4 linked regions of the Drosophila melanogaster genome follow. The protein of the gene in region 1 interacts with the protein of each later gene in a pairwise test. Each region holds a gene or a part of one and is shown in the gene's direction. Other genes may lie near its edges.

The links.
Region 2: the proteins of CG12985 (region 1) and noi interact in a two-hybrid assay, tested with the Drosophila melanogaster proteins (one large-scale study listed by BioGRID).
Region 3: the proteins of CG12985 (region 1) and CG12155 interact in a two-hybrid assay, tested with the Drosophila melanogaster proteins (one large-scale study listed by BioGRID).
Region 4: the proteins of CG12985 (region 1) and CG17230 interact in a two-hybrid assay, tested with the Drosophila melanogaster proteins (one large-scale study listed by BioGRID).

The regions. Positions count from the first base shown.
Region 1 is NC_004354.4:17,880,297-17,887,566, forward strand, and holds CG12985 (uncharacterized protein), read left to right. Parts: upstream 1-3,421; 5' UTR 3,422-3,511; coding exon 3,512-4,179; intron 4,180-4,343; coding exon 4,344-4,788; 3' UTR 4,789-4,942; downstream 4,943-7,270.
Region 2 is NT_033777.3:5,589,101-5,593,155, reverse strand, and holds noi (noisette), read left to right. Parts: upstream 1-1,696; 5' UTR 1,697-1,823; coding exon 1,824-3,335; 3' UTR 3,336-3,555; downstream 3,556-4,055. Other genes in the region: Vha26 (vacuolar H[+]-ATPase 26kD subunit), read right to left, coding at 1-297, 376-588, 1,118-1,150; PolZ2 (DNA polymerase zeta subunit 2), read right to left, coding at 3,617-4,055. UniProt on the Drosophila melanogaster protein: Probable subunit of a splicing factor complex required for 'A' complex assembly formed by the stable binding of U2 snRNP to the branchpoint sequence (BPS) in pre-mRNA. Involved in male fertility.
Region 3 is NC_004354.4:7,726,018-7,734,556, forward strand, and holds CG12155 (uncharacterized protein), read left to right. Parts: upstream 1-2,737; 5' UTR 2,738-3,173; coding exon 3,174-3,357; intron 3,358-3,644; coding exon 3,645-5,128; 3' UTR 5,129-5,712; downstream 5,713-8,539. Other genes in the region: NELF-B, read right to left, coding at 342-695, 758-2,056, 2,135-2,266; Pdp (pyruvate dehydrogenase phosphatase), read right to left, coding at 5,985-6,228, 6,297-6,864, 6,971-7,472, 8,002-8,115.
Region 4 is NT_033777.3:11,434,627-11,442,525, forward strand, and holds the start of CG17230 (uncharacterized protein), read left to right. Parts: upstream 1-3,158; 5' UTR 3,159-3,254; coding exon of another isoform or gene 3,255-3,455; 5' UTR 3,456-3,473; intron 3,474-3,516; coding exon of another isoform or gene 3,517-3,739; intron 3,740-3,797; coding exon of another isoform or gene 3,798-4,060; intron 4,061-4,153; coding exon of another isoform or gene 4,154-4,261; intron 4,262-5,258; coding exon of another isoform or gene 5,259-6,009; intron 6,010-6,269; coding exon of another isoform or gene 6,270-6,359; intron 6,360-6,496; coding exon of another isoform or gene 6,497-6,620; intron 6,621-7,565; exon of another isoform or gene 7,566-7,680; intron 7,681-7,899. Other genes in the region: Exd2 (exonuclease 3'-5' domain-containing 2), read right to left, coding at 1-673, 736-950; CG5281 (uncharacterized protein), read left to right, coding at 1,554-2,597; sals (sarcomere length short), read right to left, coding at 3,255-3,455, 3,517-3,739, 3,798-4,060, 4,154-4,261, 5,259-6,009, 6,270-6,359, 6,497-6,620.

The DNA.
Region 1 (7,270 bases):
CAATCGGATCACAAGTCTACTCCCCCAACTTCTGGGAAAAGTACTAAAAATGCCACATTAAGATTCCTAACATTACAGTAATCATTCGCGAATAGTGACATTGATTGCTATCAGCGATTTTATCTAAGAGATATGCCAAACTAAATATGCTCAATTTCACTTTTAAATAATAAAACATCAATAAGCTGAGGTCTGGGTTTTACCGCAAATCCCTATATTAGCAGGCCAACTAAGCGAGTAGCCACTGTAGCGGGGGCATAAAAAATACAACTTTATGATCGGCGGCGGCCGTTTGACGTCAGAATCGCTTGGCTTGGCTGTCTGTCTGTCGGACTGCGCCAATGTACGTGTGGTGGTAGTACACATGTGTATGTGTGTGTGTGTTGCCCTGCCGCTCGCGCTCTCTTTCGTCTCGCTTTCGCCTTTCTCCACCGCCCACCCACTACAGCCACCCACCGCAGAATGAGAAGAAGAGAGGGGAGCACAGCACGTCATGTGGTGACCCAAATCGTTCGTGTGACTTTTTCCATTTGCACTCGTTTTGTTTAATTCAATTTGCGTGCACATTAAATGCTGCTACTAAACTAATAATTGAAATAAATCATATTTTTGCAACAGCGTCTTTTTCTATTTCTGCATTCCTTTTCTTTTTTTTTTTTGTGAACTCGATTTTATTAAAAGTGCAACATGTGGCGACGCCCGAGAAAAAAAAAGAGGAAAGAAAACGTTTTGTTATTAATACGGTGGCGTACTCACACATTTGCCTACATACACAAACTTATTTGGCTATGTGCGTGCTCCAGATTTTCTAGGTGTCTACTAAAAATACCTTGTAGGCGTTTTCCGCTTCTTCTGTATTCATTAGTATCGCTGATTAGCCAAGAACGAGAAGAGTTAAGGGAATTTGGCAAGGAAATAGTACGGCACGTCTTCCATAACTTGAATCGAAATCAAATAACTTGGTTTTGTCTCAAATTTGAAGTTCAATTTCGTGGATATTAGCTATCTTCCAAATTTGAAGTGCAAATCATGCAAGGAAGTTGCAAATTCTAGGACGCATTTTTCATTTTGTTTTGCATAGCGAGGTACCACTGTGGCAGCAACAACAATTGGACATCAGCGACATCAAAACGGTTTTTGCGCTTTTGAAAGCACTTTTTCAATGGAAGATTGTGCGATTGTGCAAAGAAAGGCGAAGAATTTATGCTTTCTTTCTCTGCACTCCCCGCAGCCCTATTCCCGTCCCGCTCGCACGCCCCGCAGCAAGTGCGTTGTAGATCAAGTCGAGGCGCGATAGAGAAGAATCGAAAGCGAAGAAGAGCGGAGAGAAGAGCGAAGAATGTAAATGCCGCCGCTGACCGGCTATGTTTATTATATTTATTTTTGCTGCTGTTTTATTTTTCTTTCGTTGCTGTCTTATTTATTTTTCTGTACTTTTCTTTTTTTTTTTGTTTAGCTTGAGGTGGTTCAAAGTTCAATGACCGATTTTGCCTTTGCCGAAACTGAAGCGAAATGAACTGAAATGAACCGAAGTGAAGTGAGCGGCGCAGTCGCAGAGCTTTGCTGCCATCTCGCTCCCACAAACACACAAACACGCACACACACACACACACACACTGGGGCACATGGCCACACACAAGGTCAGTTAATAAAGTTGATTTTTGCTCAATACGCAATAGCGCAAAAATGTGCAAATAAAAAATATAAACACTAACAAGTGGCAAGCGAAAATACAAAAGACAACAAGCGGCAATTAAAAAAGAACCTTTCATGAAGTTGTTTTTGTGATCTCTCAAGATCGCGTTAAATAAAAACTTATCAAATGCACAATATTATGATAAAATGTGGTAATAAAACATAAATGATGTTGGCAATGATTAAATTTACTTCTCTATAAATCAAAAAGAACATAAAATGAGCATTTGGTTTGTATTATAAAGTCTCTAAATCTATTCGAGCGAACGATACCATATTTTCATAGTTTGCGATACTCATAAGATCACATTGGAAAACAAGTGTATGATTTCCCTTGCACACTTGCTGTCAATTGAATTGAACGTTCTGCCATTTTGCAACTTTCTTATAGAGAACATGGCCGTATCATTCCCTATTTCCGCCACTGTACTGACTGTTTTGTATTTTGTATGGTAATTGAAAACTGCGCATTCATTGATGACGGATGACGTCGCAGCTTTGACAGTGGCATTGAAAATTTCAGTTTCGCAAGCAGACTGCAGTAAACTGGTGACCAGTCGGCAGCAACAACAACAATGATAATGAATGCAGGAAGAACAAGAACAAGAAGACTACAATAACGATACTATATACCATGTATGTACATATATATATATATATATATATATAACAAAGGAACTGAATGGCCGGCATGAATTTCACTTAATAATGTGTTGCCCGAAAAACGTTTTTTTCCTCTGCATCTATGGAATTTCATCTTTCAAATAACTCATCTTGAATCTTAAATCAATTATGCGGATAGCATGTTTTCCCTGACTTTTATGCGTAATTTCAACGAAGAATTTGAATTCTCTCACGGAATAAATGTTAGTATATTCAGTGTAAATGAAAAATACGCAAATATCTATTATAGCGCTATCTATGTATCTATGAATCTGTATCTACAGATCGTTGCAATTGTTGATATTACTTCCGCCAGGTGGCGTTTTCCCCACCGCCAGTTAACTGCATTCATGGTTTCTGTTTTCCGCACACTTATTTATTTGGCCGCACTGATTAGAGACTGGAATCACAATAATAATAACCAAAACAAATGGCAGCACGTGCTTAGCATCTGGTTTGTTGTGATAAAGTGCGACTTTTCCCAGCCCACCCACACCTATGCCGCTTTCTACCCTTTCTCCGCTCGCCACACGTGCTTGCTAGTCAGCTAACCAGCTAGCTAGTTAGTCAGCTAGCCGCTAGCTAGTTAGATACTTAGTTAGCCAGCCAGTTGGCTGCGTCAGCGTCGCAATTGCGCCGCAATTGGGCACTAATGAAGTATTCTTGATACGCATTTACACTGCATTGGGCAAAGGGAGAAAGAAGGTGCGAAAGGTGAGCAAGGTGCGAAAGCTGCCAACTGAGGTGCTGATTACCCATCGCTATGGCAGCCATTTATCCTGCAGGACAATGGGAAATGGGAAAGCTGGAAAAGCGCTGGTGGAAAAGTATGGGCAACCACTCAGCTCAATTAAAAAATCGTTAAAGGGCAAACAATTGCTTTTCCGTTTCACAAATACGTTCTAGCTCTTTTAGACGGTAAGTTAAGGGGTTCCCATCATCAATTAAACTGATACTATGCGAAAGTACTAGAAAGCCAGCCAACTGTAAAGAATCGCAAAATACCCTGAAATATGTATATATTCTATGGAATATCTAGTAGTTTTGAAAGCAGCAGCCTGAGTCGCTTTCCTCAAATTCCGGATTCAAAATGTATATATTTCCACCATATACCCTGCTCCTTATCATCCTCCGCATTGTGAGTGTCCGTGCGATGAGCTTCGACCAGCCCCACAACGAACACGACGCCTCCCTGGCTAGCTATTTGGACAACACCAACGATGACATATCTCCCCAGGGCTTCAACGGCGATGGGAATGGTAGTTCGGGGGCCACAGTGGTGCCATTCCCTTATCTGGGATGCACCACAAGACCGTCCTACCAATCTGGATGTGAAAGCATGGACGAAAGCGCTAGGGACCGAGAAAAAGATCGCAATATTGATCGGGATCGAGGCCGAGATTGGGATCGAAATAGGGGTTGCGATAGAAACAGGGATCGGGACAAAGACAGGAATAATATTAGAGATAGGGACAACTGTGACTCCTGTGACGAGATTATCAATTCGCGGCTGAAGGCCACCCACATTGCCCAGAATGCCGCCCAGGTGGCCAAGGCAGCCAATGATGCACAGGCGGCCGCCGCTCAAGATGCATCGCGGCAGGCGAAGATGCAGCTGGCGGAAAAGGCCATCTCCGCTGCCCGTGCCGCCGATGCGGTGCTCGAGGGCAAACAGGCAATGGTGGACAACTACGCTAGGGAGATCCGGGATGCCGAGGAGGTGGTCGGACAGGTGAGCTGCTCGCTGCAGAACAGTGAGACGAACGTGGAGGCCTCCTGTGCCGTGGTCAAAGCAGCGGAGGTTCAAGCCGAAACATTCAGGTATAATTGATAAATATTCAATATTCAATATTGTTCACAATCCATCCAACTATCTACACAATTTAAAAGCGGAACAATTATATCGTTATATCTATCATAATATCTACCAGCGATAACATATCGATTTTTAATATCAATGCTTTTTCGATTACTAATGTTTTCAGGGCCCTCGTACAGCAGACGAGTGGCATTTTGTCGGAAATGGACAGCCTAATCGACCAGTCGAACATGGATATCGAGGAGAAGAACCAAATGCTGGCGGCGGCGAAGGCACGTGGTGACCGCCTGGCCCGCCAGGTGGCGCAAGCTAAGTCGGAGTACGAGCAGGTGAAGGAGGCGGCCTGTCGCGCCGCATCCGCCGCCGTGGAGGCCAAGCAAAAGGTCGGCACCGGCAGTTTGCTGTACAAGTCGTCGGTTCACCGCCTACCCACTGTCGCCATAAGGGCCAATGGAGCGCGCGGTTACGCACTCGACAGGAACACCTGCAATGCTCTCCTGGATCTCTACAGGCAGCGCCGACGGCAGCAACAGCGAATGCGGCGGGAGAAAATCCTGAACGGACTGGATCGCTATCAAGGGAATTCACTGTACGGGGATCACTCGTACTAACAAATGCGCTCCCTACTAACGGATGCTACGTCCACAATTCTGTTTTTCTAAACGCTGCAAATTATTTTAACTCTATTTGGATAAGAGTTTCGAGATTTTTCAACAATTTCAGTTTCACTTTTTGAGCGTAAATATGAAGTATTACCTAAATGCGAGTTGTATAATCCTTGTTTTCTTGTTAATTTATTTCCTACTTTTAAGATCGTACTAAATAGCTTGCACATATCATTACAAATCATTAATGTATTGTCAGTTATGTACATATTAAAGATCTTCCCCGTATCGAGTGACCACCGTAGCTGCTTCAATACACAATTGTTTACCAACAAATTCGCCTGACAGTGTCGTAATTCTTGCGAAATAAACAATAACAATGGGAAATGAGTGCAAGGCCAAGACGCAACGAAACACGATCGCAAAGAGGAGAAGGAGAGTGGGAGGGGGAATAGAGAAGGAGATAGTGTGGAAAAGCCATCTTGTCCAGCGGAAGAACGAATGAAAATCACAGCTGCCAATGCGAGGCTGCCAGCTGTTTGGATTTTTCCTCCTTTTCCCTTATGTATTTGTTTTTTGGAAAAATTGTGGGCGGTTGGGTGTAAAAAGTGCAACGCAAGCAGGGTTGCCACCTTTTGCGGCTCTGTTGCGTCGTTGTTTTTATTGCTATTTTGGCGTCGCTTCATGGAACTCGAAACGGAAGAGAGTGAGAAGGAGAGCGAGAGGGCGCGCGCAACGAGCGATAAAAGAGAGCAAATTCAGGGAATACGTATAAATTGAATTATAACTTTTAAGTCCTTAATTAACACATCAAGTATATTTAATTAAGCAATTACCGAAGCAACCGAACCCATAAAATAAATCGAAAATATCTAGTCAACTAAATGTTTAGATTGATATTCAAATTTTTGTATAATCCAACTAATTAAATGTCCTTTTGAAAAAGATACAAAAAAAATGTAAGAAATCTCTTCTAACGCTGCATTTTCCGCATAACAAGATGAGCATTTACAAAGACTGCAGTCTAATATAATGAACCAAATGGCCAGCTGACAAATTTAAATTGCAATATGTTTAATAAATACCATAAAACCGCATTTAACTGAAAAAACATCGATTTAATAAACTAATGGCCACAAGCCAATTGGACTTTAAAATGCCGGCAAGTCCAATTGGTTTGCCTGCTGGGCGCATAACAGCAACGCTGTTAACGCCTAACAGCACGCTGTATATTGCTGAACGCTTGAGTTTCGACTCTCTTTCTGCTCTCTCTTTTTTCAACCTAACCAAACAGCAAAAACAGAAGCATAAAAAGGCTTACTTACATTTGATTTTCGACGTTTCTCTTTTTTGGTTACTTTATTTCCAGGCTTTGGGCTTTGTTCAATTCGCTGCGATTATTCCACACATGTTTTATGATACTGCTGTTGTTGTTGCTGCCGATAGTTGCAGCTGCCGCTTATGTTGTTGCTGTTGCCACAGAAAAACATGTTTCACGTTATTCCCCTTTTTCTTTCCTTCCTTCGTTTTGTATTTGTTGTTGTTGTCGGTGGCAAGAGAGGGACGTCGATATGTGACGCGCACACACACACTCACACACACACGCAGCGGGAGAGAGAGAGAGTGAGAAAATGCGATACGAGGCAAACAAAAAAATTTTGCCGTTTTTCGTTACTCGTTGTTGTTGTTGTTGCTGCTGCCGCCGTTGCTGCTCCTTTTTCTATGCTTTCATTTCGAAAACGATCAATTAACAAACTTTATACATTTTCCCATCAATTTTCGACGCTCTCTCTGCGGTTTTTCATCTTTTCCGCCCGTCTGCCACAAAAAAGAGCGCGTCTCCGCAATGTACAAAAAAAAAGCACACACCAAATGAGGAAAAAAAAACACGCACACTCACGCACGCAACACACGCATACACAGACACGGGCGAAACGGAGAAAATGCTAAATAAAAAGCACTGTGTAAACGCTTTTCCCGTTTTTCCAGCGGCCACACACGGCCAGCTGCACCGACTATATATTATTATTTTATTTAACACGCCGCCTGTGTTTCCGCGCTGCGCATTTTGTTGCTGCTTTTAGGTGTCTTGCTTCCCTTTCAGAGCTGGGTTAGCCACTCGCGATGATATCGATGTATCGGTGTATCGGGCGGAACGGTGGTGGTAGACAGCCACAATCGGGGCATCGGTTGCAATAGTAGCCGATGGTTTACGATTCGATGTTTTGGGGAATCGGTTTATTTCACCTAATTGACCATTTTATGCGTATGAGAGAGCAATTCGCATTGCTTGATGCGCAATAGATAGCATTTTCTTGAAAAGTATATGAATTGATTTATAATTTTTAAATATCTTGCCTATCGAAAAGAACTATTCGTTTTAGACCCCTGCAAGCCAGTGCTAATAGCGGCTCGATAAATGTGCATCCGAATTAATCGATACCACTGCCAAGTGGTTGTTGCACAAAATAAACTTAGCCAGTACAGC
Region 2 (4,055 bases), on another chromosome or scaffold:
AACACCACCGCAGGTATCAGCAGAGAGGAAGTCTTTCTCGTCGATGAACAGCTCGACGTTCTGATTGATCTGGGCCTTGTATTGCTCCACAGCGGCAGGCAGGACGTTACGTACCAGGGGGACGTCCACCTCGCGGCAGCGCAGGATCACCTTGGGCTCCATGATCTGGAACAGGCCCTGGACGATGAGCTTGGTCAGCACAGTCTCGTACTCGGACTGATTCTTGGTGACCTCGCCGAGACGCTTGCGGGCATCATCCAGCACGCTGCTCACATGGTCCTCGCGCACTTTCAGCACCTACAGGGTACATTACGAATGATTAAAAATAAGGTGTTTTCCGGTATATGTTAGGGCCACCAACTGGACGACACGCACCTTCAGACGAGCCTGGTTGAGCATGTTGGAGGACTGAATCTTCTTCTGCAGCTCAACTTGCTTCTCCTTCTTCTCGTAGTATTCCATGATCTTGAGACGCTGCTGCTGGACCAGGCGTCCCTTCTCAATGTTGAACTCCTCCTCGGCCTTGGCATCGATCTCCTCGGCTTTCTCATTGGCCTCCTGCTCAATGAACGCCATCATGTGCTTGATCTGAAACAGTCGTCCTGTTTAGTAGTTGCCTGTGTGTCACATGATAACTGGACATGATAAATGGAAAAGGGAGACGTCCAAGACCCTAGCCTCTATTTATTTTCGTTAAAGTTTTGATAACGTAAGGGGTCCGCTGGTCGTGTGACAGAGAGTACGAGTGTGGGGTGCAGGGCTAGTCGTCTCGCTCCAACACATTGCTCCAATGCGGGGGCCGTGTCACATGACCAGCACGAATTTTTACTCACTTTTTACGCAAACTATCTGGACAAATAAATTGATGTGTCTTCATTAGCCAACAAATATGTCAAAACTCCGGCAACTCCCAAATGACCGGGCCGATTTGGAAGGATGTCAGTCTAATTGGACTACTGGCGGTGAAAAGTTCACATGACCTGGGAGATCCCATGACTTCGCCATCTTTATTGCAAAGGCAAATTGCAAAGGCAAAAAGGCAAACGAAGCCTCTCGTTTTGCTTGTTTCCCTACGACCTTGATCGCCTGCCCGTTCCCAATCCAAGTTTTCAATTACCTGCTTTTGTACATCAGCATCGCTCAGTGCCATTTTGACTGATTTTTTTCACTGCACAAACCGAAAGGAAATTCAAGTGTTTTAAAGAAGCCCACGTACAACAACCGTGCCTGGAAATAATTGAAATTTAATTAAGCTAATACATTCACAGCCGAACTGAGTTGGAAACGGCGGCCCAACACGAGGAAAGTGGAAAACGATAAGTTACTTTTGCCTTCTGCCCAACGTCTGAAAATTTTCACTGCAAATCGATCATATGATTTCACGAAAGTGTGACCCTGCGATTGCGAGGGTAAAAATGTGTATTTGTTGTCGCTGTCAGACCACCGATAGACGATGTAATTGTTATCGCATTTGTAACAGAGGCTTCACTTTAATCGACTAGGTAGAAAAATCATGCGATATAATCTATATATGATAATGAAAAATCAATTTGGCTCTTTAAATATCATTACTATATTACTCGAATAATCGAGCGTTAATTTGATACATCTGCATTCCCGAAATCCACATTAATTGCCAGTGTGATCGGAGTATAATAACCTGACAATAATATGATGTGACAATATAAGCCATCCCTGCTTTATTGTAAGTGTATTTTTTAATGTACACACGCTGACGAAAAGTTGTGTTTTCTTCGGGATTTCGCTAAGTGAAAGGCCTCCATTTGATATTTCCCCGCATTAAATCCTCGCATTCAAGAGCCATGGAGACGCTCCTGGAGCAACAGCGGCGCCTACACGAGGAGCGCGAGCGCCTGGTCAAACTGATGGTGGACGAGCATGCGACCAAAAAGCCGGGCGAAAAGGAGCGCATCCATTCGGAGCACCGGCTTAAATACCTCATGGAACTGCATCACAACTCTACGTCCCAGCTACGCGATCTCTACGAGGACAAGGACAATGAACGAAAGGCGGAGATTGCCGCTCTTTCGGGGCCCAACGAGTTCAATGAGTTCTACGCCCGCCTCAAGCAAATCAAGCAGTTCTACAAGTCCCATCCGGCGGAGGTCAGCGTGCCGCTGTCCGTCGAGTTCGACGAGATGATTCGGGTGTACAACAATCCGGACGACATGAGTGCCCTAGTGGAGTTCACTGACGAGGAGGGCGGCGGTCGCTATCTGGACCTCAACGAGTGCTACGAGCTGTACCTCAACTTGCGGTCGGTGGAGAAACTGGACTATATCACTTACCTTATGTCCTTTGACCACGTCTTCGATATTCCGAGAGAGCGCAAGAACCGCGAGTACCGCATATACATAGAGACCCTCAACGACTACCTGCACCACTTCATCCTCCGAATCCAGCCCTTGCTCGACCTGGAGGGCGAACTGCTAAAGGTGGAACTTGACTTCCAGCGCCAGTGGCTGATGGGCACATTTCCGGGTTTTTCGATTAAGGAAACTGAGTCGGCGTTGGCCAACACCGGCGCCCACCTTGATCTATCCGCCTTCTCCAGCTGGGAGGAGCTGGCCTCGCTAGGACTGGATCGTCTAAAGTCGGCTTTGGTGGCTCTGGGTCTTAAGTGCGGCGGCACCCTGGAGGAGCGAGCACAGCGTTTATTCTCTACAAAAGGTAAAAGCACCTTGGATCCCGCACTGATGGCCAAGAAGCCCAGCGCAAAGACTGCTAGTGCCCAGTCACGGGAGCACGAACGCCACAAGGAGATTGCCCAGCTAGAGGCTCTGCTCTACAAATACGCGGATCTGTTGTCTGAGCAGAGAGCGGCTACCAAGGAGAATGTGCAGAGAAAACAGGCTCGGACTGGTGGCGAGCGGGACGATAGCGATGTGGAGGCCAGCGAGTCGGACAACGAAGATGATCCCGACGCGGACGACGTTCCGTACAATCCCAAGAACTTGCCGCTCGGATGGGACGGTAAACCTATCCCCTACTGGTTGTATAAACTGCATGGCCTGAATATTAGCTATAATTGCGAGATATGTGGAAACTTCACCTACAAGGGTCCTAAGGCTTTTCAACGACACTTCGCCGAGTGGCGGCATGCGCACGGCATGCGATGCCTCGGCATTCCGAACACCGCCCATTTCGCCAATGTCACCCAGATCGAGGACGCAATCACGTTGTGGGAAAAACTCAAGTCGCAAAAGCAGAGCGAGCGCTGGGTAGCCGATCAGGAGGAAGAGTTCGAGGACTCGCTGGGAAACGTTGTCAACCGAAAGACGTTCGAGGATCTAAAACGCCAGGGTCTACTTTAGAGGACAAGCCTACGATTATGGTCGCTTGAGTACCGGTCAATTCTATATGACGCTTCCTCTAAAACCTCAACAGTCTTTATAATTCAAAACGGAATGACACTAAAATTGGTTTTATTTAAGGAATCTAATGTTAAGCCATAAAACCATTGGGCGTCCTTTTATTCATTAAAGAAAGACCATGGATCAGCCAACGATTCATGATTAGAATCAATTGTAGTTTAAAATAAACCCAACGTCGTGTAGTTTTCGATAAAATGGATAACAGTTTTAGGAATATAACATTAATTAACGATGAGGACATCCATTTTCAGTCCCAAATCATCTACCCTAGCCAAAGGAAGGAGGTAAACGGTTCGCCCTGTCGCTTGGGATTCAGTTTTTTGGGTCTGAAGCCAGGGAAACTCCTGGTACTGGGAGTCATGGCTGAAGCGGATGAATGCCTCCTGGGTAGTGTGCAGATGCACCTTAAACTGACAACTTCCGGCGGGCAGTTTAGGCGCCTGGTTTAAGCGCTGAGAGATTTTGTAGATGACAGAGCGCATGTTCTGCTCGAACTCCATCAAATGATCCTCTGCCGGTAGGCCACTCCTCTGGGTTTCTAGTTGCATTTTATAGCTCTCCAACTTCTCATTCTCCTTCTGATACACTATTAGCTCCAGGCACTGCAGCTCCCGGCGGCGAAGAAGTTCTTGTGCGGATTTTAGGACGCCGGCCAGGTAG
Region 3 (8,539 bases), about 10 Mb from region 1:
ACTAGAATCGATCGTTACACTAGCGTAACAGTAATATATAATATATATAATAGCCAGCGACAACTGATTGATGCCTGCCAACAAAGCCATACATTCTGTAAATATGTAAACTATATCCGATTGCTCGGTCGCAGTGCTTTATGTTTAGTCTAAACAGTAGAATTATTATTTGCGCAAGCATGCTAATTGGGGATTGCCATCCGGTCGGCTGCTCCAGAGAAGTATATGAGGTAGCCACATACATGGCCTCCGATCATCATCATCAACATCAACATCATCATCACAAATAACCATCATCATCCGACGACAGCCGCAGGTGGTGCGACTGCCGGTGCCTCTAGCTATTGGACATTATAGTGCGGTCCTGGCGTTGGCACACTCTTTAGCGGCGAATCAAACTCCATGGGCGGCGCTTCAATGACCGGCGTCTCCGCCGCCCCGGTGCCGATTCTCTCCTGCAGAATTTCGTACAACTTGTGGATGTGCTCGTTGTGGGCCGTCGTCGGCTGCATAGCCTTCATCAATGTGGCCAAACGACCGGCGGGCAGCTTATTGTGCACATACCACAAAAGTTTCAGCATGTGACGAGAGGTCACATTCTCGCGCGTCAGTCCGGCAAAGATGAACTCGTCGAAGAGCGTGGTGCAGAAGTCCTCCGTGGCAAACTCTTCGCTCATGGGGATGAGCAGGGCAATCTGTAGAGGTAAGCAATCGAGTCAGAAAAGTAAATATTAGAAAAGCAGCTATAAATGCTAACCAGAGAGTGCAGGAAGGGATCCTCATATGCGCGGTCGTCTTTGCAGGCGGACAGAATGGCCAAGACGCGCAACACGCCCACGCGATCCTTCAGGCGCGCCGTGTGCAGCGTATAGTACATGGCCAATATGCTGGCCACGGAACTCTCTTGAATGTACGCCTCCACGGCATCCGGTGCCGGTCCCGAATGCTCGATGGTGGTCAGAGCAGATTCACGCTCGTCCGGCGGTAGTTTCGCGTGCAAGCTGCGGCACTGGTCGTCAACCATTAACGACATGAGGGCGGGCAAAAACTTGGTGACCACCTGGCAATCAAGTTTGGGCTCCTTAAAGTCTTGCGAATCGATCATCACCCAGGCACTCAAGCCCAAGGCCAACATTCTCAACAACAGGATGAGTATCTGATTGTCACGCGGCATGCCCTCGTTGTTGATCAAGTGATGCAATATCTTGATGGCCGACGTGGCCAAAAAGTTGATGGCATACGGATCGCACAAAGTCATGGACAGATCGCCCAGAACCTGCTCCTGACCGCGCTTGATGTTGTCAAGAAATCCCTGGAGCTCCCGTGAACGTTTAATGTCCACATTCTTCTCCCTTATGCAGGCGTCCAGGCACCAGGTGAACTTGTGACAGGGATCTATCGAGATGATCTCCTGCACCTCGAGATCGTGTAAGGCCATCAGTAGCTCTGCACGCAGCGTGCAATAGTGAACATTGCGGGTGCGCAGGAATAGAGTGCGCAGGAACTGCAGCACCATATCGTACAGCTTGACACTGGTGCCAATCATGTTGGCCAACTTTTGGACTACTTCCCCCTGCCTTCGCACCTTGGGCGTTGGGTGGAAGAACAGATTGTTCAAGTTGGTGTGATCAAACAGGATGTGCTCCTTCTCGCGAATATATTGTGAGAGGAGAGGCGACACCTCGTCACCAAACAACGATTGATTATCACGCCATATCTGCCGCTTAACTTCCGTATCCGTGTCCGCATACAGTTCCCGATCCCTTACAAGGATTTTGAGGTACTTGTCATCGATGTGCTGGGTATTCCTCAATATGGCCATGACCACGGGCCGCAGCGACTTCACCCGAACGACGGGGAAGCTCTTAACGAGCAGCTCCTTGAGCTTCTTGTCCCGCTCCCGGGGCTCCTTTTGGCCCATCTCGTTGATGTGAGCTATCAGCTTGTCGCGCAGCTCCTCCATCAGCGAGGTATGAAAGTCCAGTCGACGCACGCCGTGCAAATCGAGTAAAGGCAACATGGGGCGCAGTGAAGGCAGCAATACACCATTCTCAAGCTAAAAAGGCAGGTGATATTTGGATAAATAAGCCCACCGAACTTTTGGCGCCCATTTTTCGGTGCAACGTAAACAAACCTGAAAACTCTCGATGGCCTTCAAGGGATCAGTGCAGGAGGTCAGGGCCTCGCGCAGATAGGCCTGACCCGGAATATTCACGTCCTCCAGTCCAGTTCCATTGTTATTTTTCGCCGGTGTGCTCATTATCATGCAATTCGTCGGCAAATTGAGCAAAACAAGACACGAAGCTACACAATTGTGTTGTTTTTTATTGCTAGCGAGGAGACAAAAAAATAAGCGCAGGCTTGCACATGTGCGGTGTTATCGATAGTGCACGTATCAGCACGGCTTGTAATAGCCAACTTTGTATGTTTAACATGTAGTTATTAATATTATTTTGCCAACAAATAGTTGTATTATTATTATTGGTAGAATGGTAAATGTTACAAAAATTAATAAAGATAATAAAAAAAAATTATATGGGCCACAAATACAATATAAGTCTAATTTCTAATAGTGTTGGTAAAAAAACTGAACTCAAAAAATAAAAACCTTTAATTAGTTTGCCTTAGAACATCATTCCCATACGACTTAATTGTATAAGAACGTAACTTTTAATTGAGGATTATAAATACAGGGAAACGGACTTTTGCTTTTCAGTGACGGCGAAAGAGAACGCCAATTCCGCGATGTGTCATCCCTAGCGCGAAATAAGCAACAGCAAAAACAGCCAAAAGCAAAGCAAGAGCATCAAGTGCAGTCAAATTCGCACAATTGGAGCTGAACGCCAAGGACAAGGCGTCTCGATTCTTGCCGAGATTCGTGCCCCGTAGCGACTACAAAGGAGATCCTGCTGCACACAGTCGCTATCCTTTGCATCGAGTGTGCGAGAGTGTGTGCGTGCGTGTTCCTACACCTACATAAGCTGGTGTTTGGCTCCGTTCAAGTGCGCTTGTGTATGTGTTTGTGCGTGCATTTCGACGAGAACGAAAGCCTCTCTTTTCGTGGGTAAACAAAAACAAAACACCTGAATGTGAGGAGCAGCATTGGTATCGGGATAAGGATCATCAGGATTTGGGAGAGCACAACAGTGGAAACCCACAGAAGCTGAAGCAACATGTCCTCGTCGACGCAAGAGCGCAAGCGCTACCACAAGGACAACGCGCCCACGGACGACATCCTTACGCTGATCAACCTGGTGCGCCAGAATCCGGTTCTCTACAACTACAAACTGCAGCCGAACCAGCGACGCCGCTCCGATGTCCTCAACGGATGGCAGGAGGTGGCCCAGCAGATAGGAAGTGAGTGCTAGTCATGGCCTGCTTCATGTCCGACTATTAGCCTTCTTCCAGAATTAATATAAGCTTCCGCTAAAGTTGGTTTTAAATACCACATGCATATTGTATTGATAGGCTAGTGTTCTGGCGCCGGCTACTATAACACAACTCATAATTTCATCGTTACTTAGAAACGTTTTCATAAATGTGATGCCTTTGAAGAGGTTCTAGCTTGTATCAATTATCTGTAAAAGGAATACGATTCCTTTGAAACCCCGCTCATATTTATACTACCTCTTTCTTTCTTCCAGACAAGTACACGGTGCAGGAGGTGCGTCGTAAGTGGAAGAACCTGCGGGACACTTTCCACCAGTACCGTCTGCGCACGCCCAAGTACATCGAAGGGCGGCTATCCAAGTGGCGCTACGCCAAGGAGCTGGACTTCCTGTCGAAGGTGTACCAGCCGAAACTGAAATCGCACCGGAACACACAGATCACCTATGAGACGAGTGGGGTTGCCGGCGCCGGTGGAGGCATTGGAGGCGCGAATAGTACCACATTGCCCATTGGAGCTATGCTGCATTTGAAACAGCATGTGGACGATGACGACGACGAGGTGATGGACGATGACGGGCAATCGGATCACGATACCGCCACGCTCTCCTCACATCACGGCACCTCGCAGATCACCCTGGTCAGCGATGAGGCGGAAACCTTCATCCTGACCGCCTACGAGGAGGGCGTCTCGGATGACACTGTATCGCAGCACCACCATCACCATCATCATGGCCATCACCAGCAGGAGCATCATCACCAGCCGCACCACCACCACCACCACCATCATCATCAGTCGCAGCACGACGGCAGCATCTCCAGCATTGAGCTCTCCCAGATTGCCCACGATGACGATGTGGTCGATGATGTCGATGACGAAGATGATGTGGTCGACCACGACGGTCAGCTGGATATTGTGAAGCACGAACTGGACGAGGACGGGGCAACCGGCGCCGAGGTGGACTACGAAGAGGTGTGCCTGTACGAGGAGGCCAGCGGTGCCCATGTGGATTGCGAAATTGGTGTGGGTGACGCCGTGGACGGCGGTAGCGATGTTACCCACGGCAAGGGTTTCCATTACATCGATACACACGAATTTTGCATATCGGACATTGAGCCACAGACAGTTCGCTCCAGCCAGCATCAGTTCTCGGCCAGCGGTGGATCGGGCAATGGCTCAAATAGTGTCCTAACCGGTGGGACTGTGGTAACCGATGGCAAGGTAAAGAATCTCACGCTGGTAACAACCACGTCTCCTGCGGCTGGGGGCGGTGGATCAACCAATCGTCATGATTCCTCAGTGTCAACGCAGCAAATTTCCCTGGTGGATGTAACAGAGGCGACCAGTACCAGTGTGACGATTTCAAGCACGCCGGCCATTTCTCTGAATGCGACTACCGTGACTACCACGCCAGCAGCGGCGCTGTGCAATACCACATCCTTCACATCCACGCCGACGGCCACGATCATTCAGATGCCCCCCTTGAACTGCGGATCTGGCCAGCCATTGGCCGTTAGTGCGGCGGCCAGCAGTTCTAACAATCTCATCAAGGAGGATGAGCAGCATCAGCAGCAACAAGTGGCCCAGGCACTGGCCAAGCGTGATGAGCTCGATCTGTTCTTTGACTTTCTCAAGAAGAAGATGCAGTGCTTCAGCAAGACACAGATTACGCACATTCAGATGGAGTTCCTCAACTGTGTCAGCCGGCAGGAAGCGGCCGAACAGGATGGCAAGGATTAGGGACACCTGTTTTTAGTTATGTTCCCCAAAAAACAACCAATACGATCCCTGAGTAGTTGCCTAGTTTTTTCCATGTATAGGATTAGGATGCGTACCGTTTACCAGTTTGCAAGTTCGTGGATTCCGCGTTCTTCAATTAGCTTTATCCTCCACCCACGAAACCCCGGATCCCTGTATCCTTCACCCCTCTACACCATCCATTCGAGTAAAAATATATATACATATATATTAGCCAGCGTTACAATCAATTGTAATTGGAAATAAAAGAAAATAAATCGATTCTCGAAAACTACACAATTCGAAATTCTTAAAGTTGAATAGCTTGTTTGCAACAGATGATCTATACCTAAGTCTTAGGATTATCCTGGTTTCCCCCCCGTTTTATAGACCGAACTAAATTGAAAACAAGAAAATTGGCGTAAATTATAGAATAAGAAGTTTTAAATTGAATTAGATTATATACATTACGAATTGCTTGTAAATTTTAAACAGCAAAAATTAATATAAGTACTTGCTTTAAAAGAAAAAATAGTATCTACTTTACAAAATCACGAACTATTTGAGAAATAAATATATGAAGAAACCTTCTTGATTGCTTATAACCCTTGATATATACATATTTGCTGGGATTTTCATGTCATTTTTATTTTATTAACAAATGAGACGACCGATCATCGCTCTTTATGAATAACAAGACAATTTGCATATGTGATTTTTCGCTTTCCGCGTGCGATTTATTTGGCGCAGCAGTCGTCCGAGGTCCGATGGCGGATGAAACAAACTTAAACGCAACACTTAGGCTAGTTCGGCTGAAGGTTAGGCTCGTTAAATATACACATATGCACTCTCGCAGAGATCATGCTACCGGCGCAGTGACCTCCGTTTGATCCACATCGCTGTGCAGCTTGGCAATGTGCTCCGAGTTAAAGTAGATGACAGTGATTGTGATGTCGTCGCGATACAGACGCACCGCGTCCCTGGGCAGCGTCAAATAGTACGAGATCTTCGAGTGCTCAATCCCATAGTCGGTGCCGCCCAAAGCATGCCGGATGAGATGCGTGGCCGCGTTTTGGTCTACGGGTTTGCGAGTGAGGCCAGCCCTGCAATGCAATAAAAGCGTAATTAATAAATAAATAAATAACAAGCATACATTTAAAGGATAACTGACTTTCTTTCGGCCAGCTGCTGAGAGATTTCCTGCAGCGTTGTATCGCCTTCCGGCAGGCGCATCGGTTCGAGGATCTTTTTGGAGTTGATGTGCTCCCCCACCAAGCTGACCACCTCGCTGGGCGGAAGGAAATCCCATAGGCCGTCGCTGGCGATGACTAGAAACTTGTCGTTGGGCCCCAATTCGTGCTGCTGGACATCGGGGCGGGCGGTTAGGTACGGTGGCGTATAGTAATTCGGCGCCATTGCCTGCACGCCGAACATCGGCAGCACCTTCTGCTGCATTATTTCCTGGGACCACTTGTAGCGAAAGTCCCCAAAGGCACGCAACGGCGCCAGCTGGCTAAGCAGCCTGCCGTTTCGGATCACCGTCTCATGCTCCTCCTTGGGATGCTCGGCCAGAATGCGACGCACCTCGGACATATTGTCAGCATTGTGTTCGATGTTAAGCTTCTTTGAGTGCCACTGCTGCGTCTGGGGATCAAGAACGCCCAACACTGCGCCACAATCACCCGTGCTGGCCACGTGCATCTGCAGTCCCTCAATGTGAACCAAACAGGCAACGGCTCCTGGAAAATAAACACATTTATAGTTTAGAAATGAAGCCCCTATGAAGAGGAAAGTATGAAACGGGATGGCAACTTATATACATAAATAAATGGATACATCACCCACCAGAAAGGGCCACGTTCATGGTGCGTACATCGTTGCTGGTCAGAGCCTCCTGCGAGATCTCTTCATCCAGCTGGAGGAAGGCGTTCACCAGTTCACTGGATACATCCCGTTGCGGTGTCTCTAACAATTGATTGACATACTTGAGGAAACTAGCCTCGTACATGGGCTTGATCATGCTAACAAAGTCCACGTTGTCATTGTGGCACTTGAGGAACGACTGGCTGTCGGCACCCTGCTTCATCTGCTCCCGGAGCACCTGGCGCGGCAGCGTGGCCGCCGAAACATAGCGAAGCAGTCGCTTGGACACCACTTGGCCACATGCTGCTCCCGCATGCCCGTCGAAAATGCCACAAATGAAGCCGTTGCGGTGCAGGAAGCTGGCCTCCGTGCGGGAATCCTCGCAGGGCCAGTTTGATCCCAGCTGATTTGTTTCATAGCTGCGGATGACTCCATCCACGGGAAAGTTGTAAACGAACTCGTTCTCCCTCAGAACAAGGTTAACCTGTGAAAATAGTTTACATTAATACAGATTCTTACTCTTTATGTGGGAATTACAAAGGTTCCCATGGTAATAGTTATTAATCAGTTAATTCTTATTCGGTTCCTAAAAATTTTGTTCTTAAGCCGCTTGGTATGGACTCTTGTCCAGTGCAAACGATCAAATGAAATTAACTGCTCAGTAAAGGCATTATAAATGGTTGCTGTAGTTGAAATATGAATATGGAAAATCGAATACAGTCGGGTCGACGTCGTTCACTTTGTTTATAGGAAAACACTCGGGACTTTCTTGAAAGCCCTTGAAAGTAGTTATTGGATCTTCAGAAAATTATGCAGGCTTTATAGTTAAATTTTTAAACGGCTTAGGGATGTAATGCATAGATTTGTGGTTTCTAAAAGTAGCTTCAATAGGAAAAATCCAAAATAATTAATAAGTAAAGAAGTACTTTCGATCGAAGATCTTACAAACTGATTACATTTTACGAACCCTGCCCAGCTTGCTAATGACACTTGCCAGGAACCCCAAATCTTACATCGTATGGACTCAATTGAGGCAGTTGCGGCAGCAGACGCAGTGCATTCAAACTGAACTCCCGCACATTGGATCGCACGTAGCTGGCGGCGTCGTTCAGCACGAACTTGAACATCTATATGGAGATTTTGTATATGCTCTCGCCCCGCTGTGGCTATAATTAACGGTAATGATATTGGTTCCGTAACCAAATCGGGGGAGGAGTAGGCAAAGAAGATGGAGGAGAACGTGGTGGATTCCGTATCCCGGAGCCTCCGGCTGATTCACCGACTCCGGTTGCCGGTTGCTGACAAAGGGATCTTATTTTCCGCTGTTGCTTTTGATTGGCCGGCGGCTTGTTTGTACATTTGTGTGCTGTGAAATACGAAGCGGACGGTGTTCACGGAAAACAAACGTAAAAAGAAAATACAGTGCGTACTAGCGATGGGTTTTTCTCTGCACGAGACAGCCTAGAACGAAAATGAACACGCACGTCTTAATTTATGTGTCAAAGCACTGTACAAGGCCAAATCTTTTTGTGTAATTATTGTAAATTTATT
Region 4 (7,899 bases), on another chromosome or scaffold:
TCGGGTAGCTATTTGCCGGTACGGTTGCTTCTTGGGCACCCATTTATTGCTTTTGGATTGGGTGGAGCCCTTTGAACGAGTTACTCCGCTGCCGGACGGGTTGAGTGTGAAGCCTTTCGTGAAGTCCACGTCGAGAAAGGGTTCGAATTTGTTGTGCATGCTATTGTCGTCCAGTTGCCTTCGTTGCCAAAAGTGTTTTGGCTGCAGATCCCTGCACAATTTTTGATAAATGGCCACCGCCATAAGTGCGTCGTTGGCAGCGTAATCAAGCTGTTTTGGCTCCAAAGTCTTGGCCTCCCAGTTGGAGCAGGCCAGGCGCCAGTGCTTGTCCAGTGTATAGTTCAGGTGAGTTTTGGAGAGCTTTCCCAGTCCCTCAGGTTTGTGGCCTGCCATTACGCAGAGGAAGCGCAGATCCAGTGTGCTGGCCACGCCTACTCCATAGTCGTGCGAAAGTTTCATGGCATCCTCCTGGGGTGCCACGCCCACTTTGATCACGGAATCGTCCTCGAGAAGCTCCCGCAGATCCTGGGGTATTTGTTTCATATGGCACAGTCGGAATAAGGCACATAGACCCCGATGGGAGCTCAATTGGAGCAAGGCCACTGGCCTGCGGCTGCCGCCCACGGTGATCCACTCGCAATCGAATCCAAGGACTTTAAAAGTCTGGCAGTGACTAAGAGGCAGAATATATATATATATTTCCATTGTCGTGAAATTAAAGTGGTTTTTACTTACTTCTTCAGTTCATTCAAAACCCATTGCGTGGTCGGATCCTGGACGGAGTTGATCACTTCTATGCGTCGCTGGGGCACCAGGCTGCCGAAGGACCAGACGCGACGCAGTGGACACAGCAGTCGGTGCCTGTGCCGCACCAGGACGTATACCAAGCCAACTCCTGCGGCCAGAATCGCCCAATTTCTTTTGGTGGCGACTGCCGATTCCCGAGTCATTGTTCTCCTTTCGGAGTTCAGCAGCTGATTGGCTGGCCTGCCAACTTACGTTTTCACAAACCGTAAAAGCCGGTCTAAACAAGTTTCGGAATATTTATAACCGTAATTTGAATGTGCTATGCCAAAATAGTTTTACAGTTTTAATACATTTTAAGCAAAACTTGTTTCAAATCTTTTAAAAGTTCATAAAAATATATCGAAATAAAACCGTTAAACATGACGAGTCGTTTAAAAAGGTGGCATTGTTGGCTGGACTAAGATCTTCGGGGTGGCAATACTGGCCCACAGGGTTTTCCGGAATCTCCATTCGCGAAAAGAATTAAAAATGTTTAATTAAACGCAGTCGGAGCGTGCAAACAATGAATAAAACTCAGTGAAACTGGCGGCGGGGAAACGATGTGCCATTGAAAACGCAGAAAAGGCGGCAGCAGACAGTGACACAGCGCGTAAATAAGGAAGGCAATCGAAAGAAATCGATTTTTCAGGGCAGGTGGGCTACCATTAGACTCCCCACACTCATGCACACATATTGATGCAAATCCCATTTGCAGGATGCTGAAACTTTGAAGGAATCCAGAAACTGTAGAGAAGAAACCCCACAGAATGCCGGAAAACCTCGAGCTTCAGCAGTTCCAGGAGGGCGCCCCGCCCCCAGATCCCGCCCCCCGTTGGCTGGAGCGCTTGCAGCGACGATTGGGCGCCGATTGTCCCTACTTGGGTATCCTGCTGGCCACGCTCTCCTCGCTCTTCTTCTCCCTGTGCTCGGTGATTGTGAAGGGACTGGTGGACGTGAACCCCATGGAGCTGGCCTCGTTTCGATTCGTCGGAGTCCTGTTGCCGGCACTGCCCATCCTGATATACACGCGACAGCCGGTGTTTCCGGAGGGCAAGAGGGTGATACTGCTGCTGCGCTGCTTCATGGGCACAACGGGTCTGATGCTCAGCTTCTATGCCTTCCGACACATGCCCCTGGCCGATGCGAGTGTCATCATCTTCTCCACGCCCGTTTTCGTGGCCATATTTGCGCGTGCCTTCCTCAAGGAGCCGTGTACGCTGTTCAATGTCCTGACCATCAATATGACATTGCTCGGCGTGGTCCTCATCACGCGCCCACCCTTTGTGTTCGGTGACACGGCGGAGAGTGAGGATGTCGCTGGGAAGACGTACGACATCTGGGGACCAGTGGCCGCCATATCATCCACACTCTTCGGAGCCAATGTGTACATCCTGCTGCGGGCGCTCAAAAACCTGCACTTCTCCGTCATCATGACGAATTTCGGTACCATCGCTCTGGTCTACACACTGATCGTTTGCGCATCTATTGGAGCTGTGTGCTGGCCAAGCTGCGGACGGGATCGTTGGCTGGTCGTTGTACTGGGCGTATTCAGCTTCCTGGGCCAGATCCTGCTCACGCTATCGCTGCAGATCGAACAGGCCGGACCAGTGGCCATTGCTCGCTGCGCCGACATCGTCTTCGCCTTCGTCTGGCAGATGCTCTTCTTCGGAGAGACGCCCACCGCTTACTCGCTGGTGGGTGCGGTGATGGTGATGGGATCTGTGGTTCTGACGGCCCTGAAGAAATGGGCAGGCACCCTGCCACGCGAGTCGTCGCTGCGGAAGCGATTCAGGCTCATCCTGCTGGAATAGTGTGGTTCCAGAGCAACTAAAAGAGTTCGCGGTTTCTCCCTCGTCTTGTCACATCGTTCTCACCCAATCCCGGCAAGCATCAGTGGCCGGCAGCAAACCCGGTTCATTCATCGTAGACTCTACTTATATCAAGGCTCAGATCGTAGATTAATCAAAATATATAAGAAGGGACGCGTGATATCCACTCCACTCATAAGTAAATACTCGTAGTGCGTGTTTAGTTTAGCCAATTTCGCCGATTTGTTGTTTTGTACATTGTTATACATGCTTAAAATACGGTAATAAATACAACTTATGAATAAAATAAAAACAAGTTATAATTTGCATTTGAATTTCACGCTCTTCTACATGCAAATTTGCACTACATTTTTATATAATTCATTTAAATAGTTATAAATAAACAATAAAATTTCAAATCTACAGCGACACAACATTTTACATTACTTTGTAAAAATTCCGTTACATGTAGAATACAGACGGCGCGACATCGATACATACATCGACATCATACATCGATTGCAGAATTAATTTTACATCCACCTCTAGTTTTTCGTTTGTTTGTTTGTTTATTATTGTTTATGTTTATATTCTCGAAGCACACACACTCGAAAAAACAGAGCAAGGAACGGAAACAGAAACGGAAGACAAGCTGAGGGACTAGAAGCCCAAATCGGCAATAACCGCGTCCAGTTCGTCCTGCAGATTGGTGGCCCGCGATCGCACCTGCACAATTTGATCCTGCAAATTGTCGACGTTCGCCTGGAGCAGCACATTGCACTTCTTCATCGCCGCGAACCGGCTCTCGTGCTTCTTCACGCGCGGCTCCACATTCGCCTTCTTCGCGGAGTTGGGCGAGTCCTGCGGAATACGGTACAGGTGAGCTGGCTAAATAGTTTACGATTCTCTGGGGCTAACTCACCTCTGGCTCGGACTCGCTGCCCGTCTCCGCCTCACTTTCCTCCGATTCGGACTCCTCGGACTCGTCGTCGGATTCCTCCTCTTCTTCGCTGGCGTGCTCCTCCTCGGCCTCCTCTTCGTCCTCGTCCTTCTCCTCGCCGTCCACATCGTCTTCGTCTAGCTTCATGGAGGCAGCCATCTTCTGCACCTCCTTCTCCAGCTTCTTAAACTTCTTGTTCTCCTCCCTGTCATCCAGAGTTGTTTCCAGTTTAAGAACAATACTACATTACAATTTGTACTCACTTGAGGATACTCTGGTTCTTCTTCATGGCTTGCTTGAGGGCGTCCTTCTCCTTCTTGGCCGCCTCCTCTTTGACCTTCAGTTTGGTAAGCTTGCTACGCAGGATCTTGAGCTCCTTGCCAGAGCGACGCTCCCTGCGCTCCACCTTCTTCTCCTCCGGCTCGTCAGGATCGCTTTCGCTGACCTCAGGCTCCAGTTCCGGCGAGCTATCCCTTCCAAAGTTTGCATCGCTTGGTCGACGCGATCCGTCCAAGGATCCACCGCCCTGCAGCCGCAGTTAATGCAAAACGGAAAACGGGAAAGAAGGGATACACACATTGGATTAGTGAGGGCATCCTTGAGCGGGGCCTGATTTTACCTGATGCCGTGCTGCATGGTAGTGGTCGTAGTGGAAGCAATCGTCGTAGTCGTCGTCGTCGTAAGCAAAGCAATTACTAATGTGCGGTCTGTTAGTGCTTGGTGTCGCCTTTGCAAGAGAGCGTGAACGGGTTAATCGGTTAGTTGCCGCGGAGTGCAATAGCAAAGCTTTCAGGGGGATAGGAATCGGGACCGGACGTGTCCTAGACGGGTCATAACACCGCTTTGGTCTGGGCGGAAGCAGAATGCGGGTGGCGGGAGTCTTTCATGCAGCATGCGTCCGGCAGTTGGAGTTTAAGGTCGTCTACACACGAGATCTTCGGACATTGTTTATACCTCTCGTTTCGTTTTGATAAAGATTACATTTTTTAATGTCTACCATGGCATGGCCAGGTCCATTATTTGCTTAAAGAAAAATTCTGGAACCTTTTGAGCATTTCCCCAGAAACTTGATTTTGTTTTGTCTGGAATTGTGTGCAAGCAAACAGATAGCACAGGTAAGGGATGAAGGCACCTTACTTGAAAAGTATGGCTTCCGAAATTTAATACAAATTGAGCTTTGATAAAATATGGTCAGTTTTGAATTTCATTTTTCGCTTTCTCTTGATAATAATTTTACTATTCAACTTGTCTGATTCCTTCTCAACAGCAAGCTGTCTGCTGGCTTCAATCAGATTTCTGGTATTTTAAGTCTCGTGTGCAAACCGTTTTTAAGAAGGAAGAAAACAAGGTGTATCCACGGGTAATCCTTTCCCAGACCCATTCCACATTTGTGTCAAGTGTTGTCAGCTGATCTGTTTCTCTGGCTACAGTGGCTACTAGGGACAACTAACGAGGGATCTAAGGCGGAGTCTACGAATTGCGGTGGCTTCGTTAGCTGCTCCCGTCTACTTGCCGCCCTCAGCGGACGCAGCGAGGCGACGCCGGCGACACTAAAAACAAGAAAGAAGGACTAGCTTCGGAGTCCGATGCTTTGCATACCCTTGGAGATAGTTATGTTGTAAATGGTTGTAATCCAAAATCCTAATCTCAACTGACAACACTTTGAGCAGCATCCCATTACCTACATATACATATTACCGAACCCGTTCTGCAAAAGGAATTACCTGAAGAGCTGCTGCCAACTTGCGTTCGAGCAACTGAATCTGGCGGCGCTGCTCCTCGATCTCCGTCTTGGCCTCCACCAGCTGCTCGGCGGTGCTCTGATAGTTTTGCTCCACCTCCTTGGACACCTTCCGTGCGTCCTCTACCTCGCGCTTCAGGGAGTTGACGTAGGTCTGTTCGGCGGTGGGCGTAGGATCCATGGTGGCCACAATCACATTGGATCCGTACTCGAGATTCTTTTCGCGTGACTTCTCGCGTTCCAGTTCGGTCTCTAGGGTGCGGATTTTGGCCAGCAGCTTCTTGTTCTCGCGATCCTGCGCCTCACGGTTTCGCAACTCCAGTGCCAGCATTTGTTTGGTGCTCTGCAGATCGTCGCGGATCTTGTCGATGTCGTCCAGCTCGTCGGGGCTTTCCTCGTCGATGGACATAGCCGATACGATGCTGGGCCGGGATCCTCCGGCTCCCAAGGCCGTGGCACTGCCCGGTCCGAGTGCATGGCTGCTAGGCGCCTCGCTGAGCATGTTGATCTTCGACTGCGACTTCTGCAACTGCTCCTCGATGGTCATCTGTCGGCGGAACTTGCGCAGACCGTCCAGCACCGGCTTGCTGCGATCGTTGGTCTTCGTTGGCTTCAACTTGATGCCGCCCTGGATCTGCTTGAGCAGCTTGTTGTGCGAGTTGCCCTTCTCCGTCTCGTAGATGAACTTGTCGTCCAATTTGGTTATCGACTTGCACGTCAGGATGGGCTGAGATCTATTAGGATTTGAATTGTTATAAAAGAGATTTTTGAACATTTTCGTGCAGAGTTATCTATTATTTGGCTGCTGGTACTTCTGCACACTTAAAATTTAAGTAAAAGTCATTAACATTTGCCGGATAAAGTGGCGTAAACGCAGTAAGATGCTCTAGGTACTCTTTCCTGTGGCCTTAAATAACTTCAGTTTTCATTCCCTTTTTAATTATCGGGAGTATTGCAGTCGGTAATTACTGCACAGCATGCGGACACCACTCACCTATCGTTGCAGGCCACATGGCGCAGCTTCTTGCCGCTCTCCACCTCCTTCATCATCTCGGACCAGTCGGGGCGCCTTCGGGGTCGAGTCCTGCGAATCGAAGCGAATCGGAATTATGGCCATTCTGCGCCTTCAAGGTAAAAACTATCCCGATGCCAGGATATTCGGGTATGCAAGCACTGGCGGTGGTCAGGGTTCATGGGTCAGTCGTCGAGGTTTCCACTCACCTGAGCTTCTCGAGGGTCTCCTTCTGTGTGCTGCTGAGCACTCTCTTCTCACCGGGAGCTAGGGGCGGGGGCGGCGGTGGCGGGGCCTTGGGCACCAGCGAGGGCAGCGGCGGCGGGGCGGGAACTGCAACAATAAAACACGGAATGCACCCAAGTGGGCGGCGGTTATTCTCTGCCAAATGGTGGGTGGGGCACTCGCTGCAAGTGGTGCAAGTGGGCGCGAGGTTTGGTCGTTGGGCATTAGAGCAAATCGCCGGGCGCTGCGTGCACTCGCGGTTATTAAATATAATTTTAATTTAATGAGTTTGCAATTTGTTTCAGTTGTTTGTTGTTCTTTCGGCTCCCGGGGGGTTCCTTAGTCAACCCGCCAGAGGATTCGCCACCCCAGTATTTAGCTGTGCTTTGCGAGCAAAGTTGCACCATACATATCAATACAGGGCAAAGAGAATGGAATGGATGGCTTTACACTCCGAACATTAAGGGTTATTTATTCCTTTTCGGTTTTTGTTTTAAAAGGTTCTGACTCTATCAATTCCCCAATTGTATTAGTTTAAATCTATTTTCATCTTTTCAGCTAGTACATTTTAAATCACTTAAATGCCAATCTTAAGCATATCTAACATTTTCCTTACAAAACAGAGGACCCAAACTATTATGTCAGCTGGATTATACATTTTAGAGAATACATTTTGGGAATTGTCTAGTGTTTTGAAAAATGTCAGTTCATCATTTCGCCTTTTAGCCAAACACAATATGAATAGAAAAGGCTTATAGTCTGTTTATCTGAAGTTTCGCCTGGTGTATGGGGGGCTCCTAATAGAATGAGAGCCTAGACACATGGCTGTCTCTGTCGGAAGTTGCAGCAGAGATTGAAAAGTTAGTGCCTGCCTCCGTTGCGGCCTCCGCCTACGTTTCGTCCTCGTCCTCGTCCTGCTCCCCCGACACCGTCTTGTCGTGGAACGTGGACCTGGCTTTGATGGTGTTTTATTGCCTTAACACCATTCATTCGATTTCTTTGGGACTCATACACAGGCATGCATCAAGATGGGTTTCTTTCATAATTTTTTATCGAATACTTTGCATTCCTTCATGCTTTTTCCTTTCGGCTTGTTGTTCAAAAGTGTAAAAGTCAAACAACAAAAAGAAGAGAAAAACAATGAAGGCACCACCACCAGCACCATCACCATCACCATCACCAAGTGATGAAAAGCTGACAAATCTGTTAATTAGCTTTGTTTGAGTGAGTCCTGGCAGGAAGCAGGGGCAGGAGATTTGATGCCTTTTGGGTGGGACTGTGTTACCAAGGCCACAACCGCCAGGGCCTTATCCTTTGTCTGAGCTCCGGCTCCGGCTCCGGCTCCTTCTCCGTCTCCGGTTTAGTCTGCCTTCTCCTTTTTCGGTTT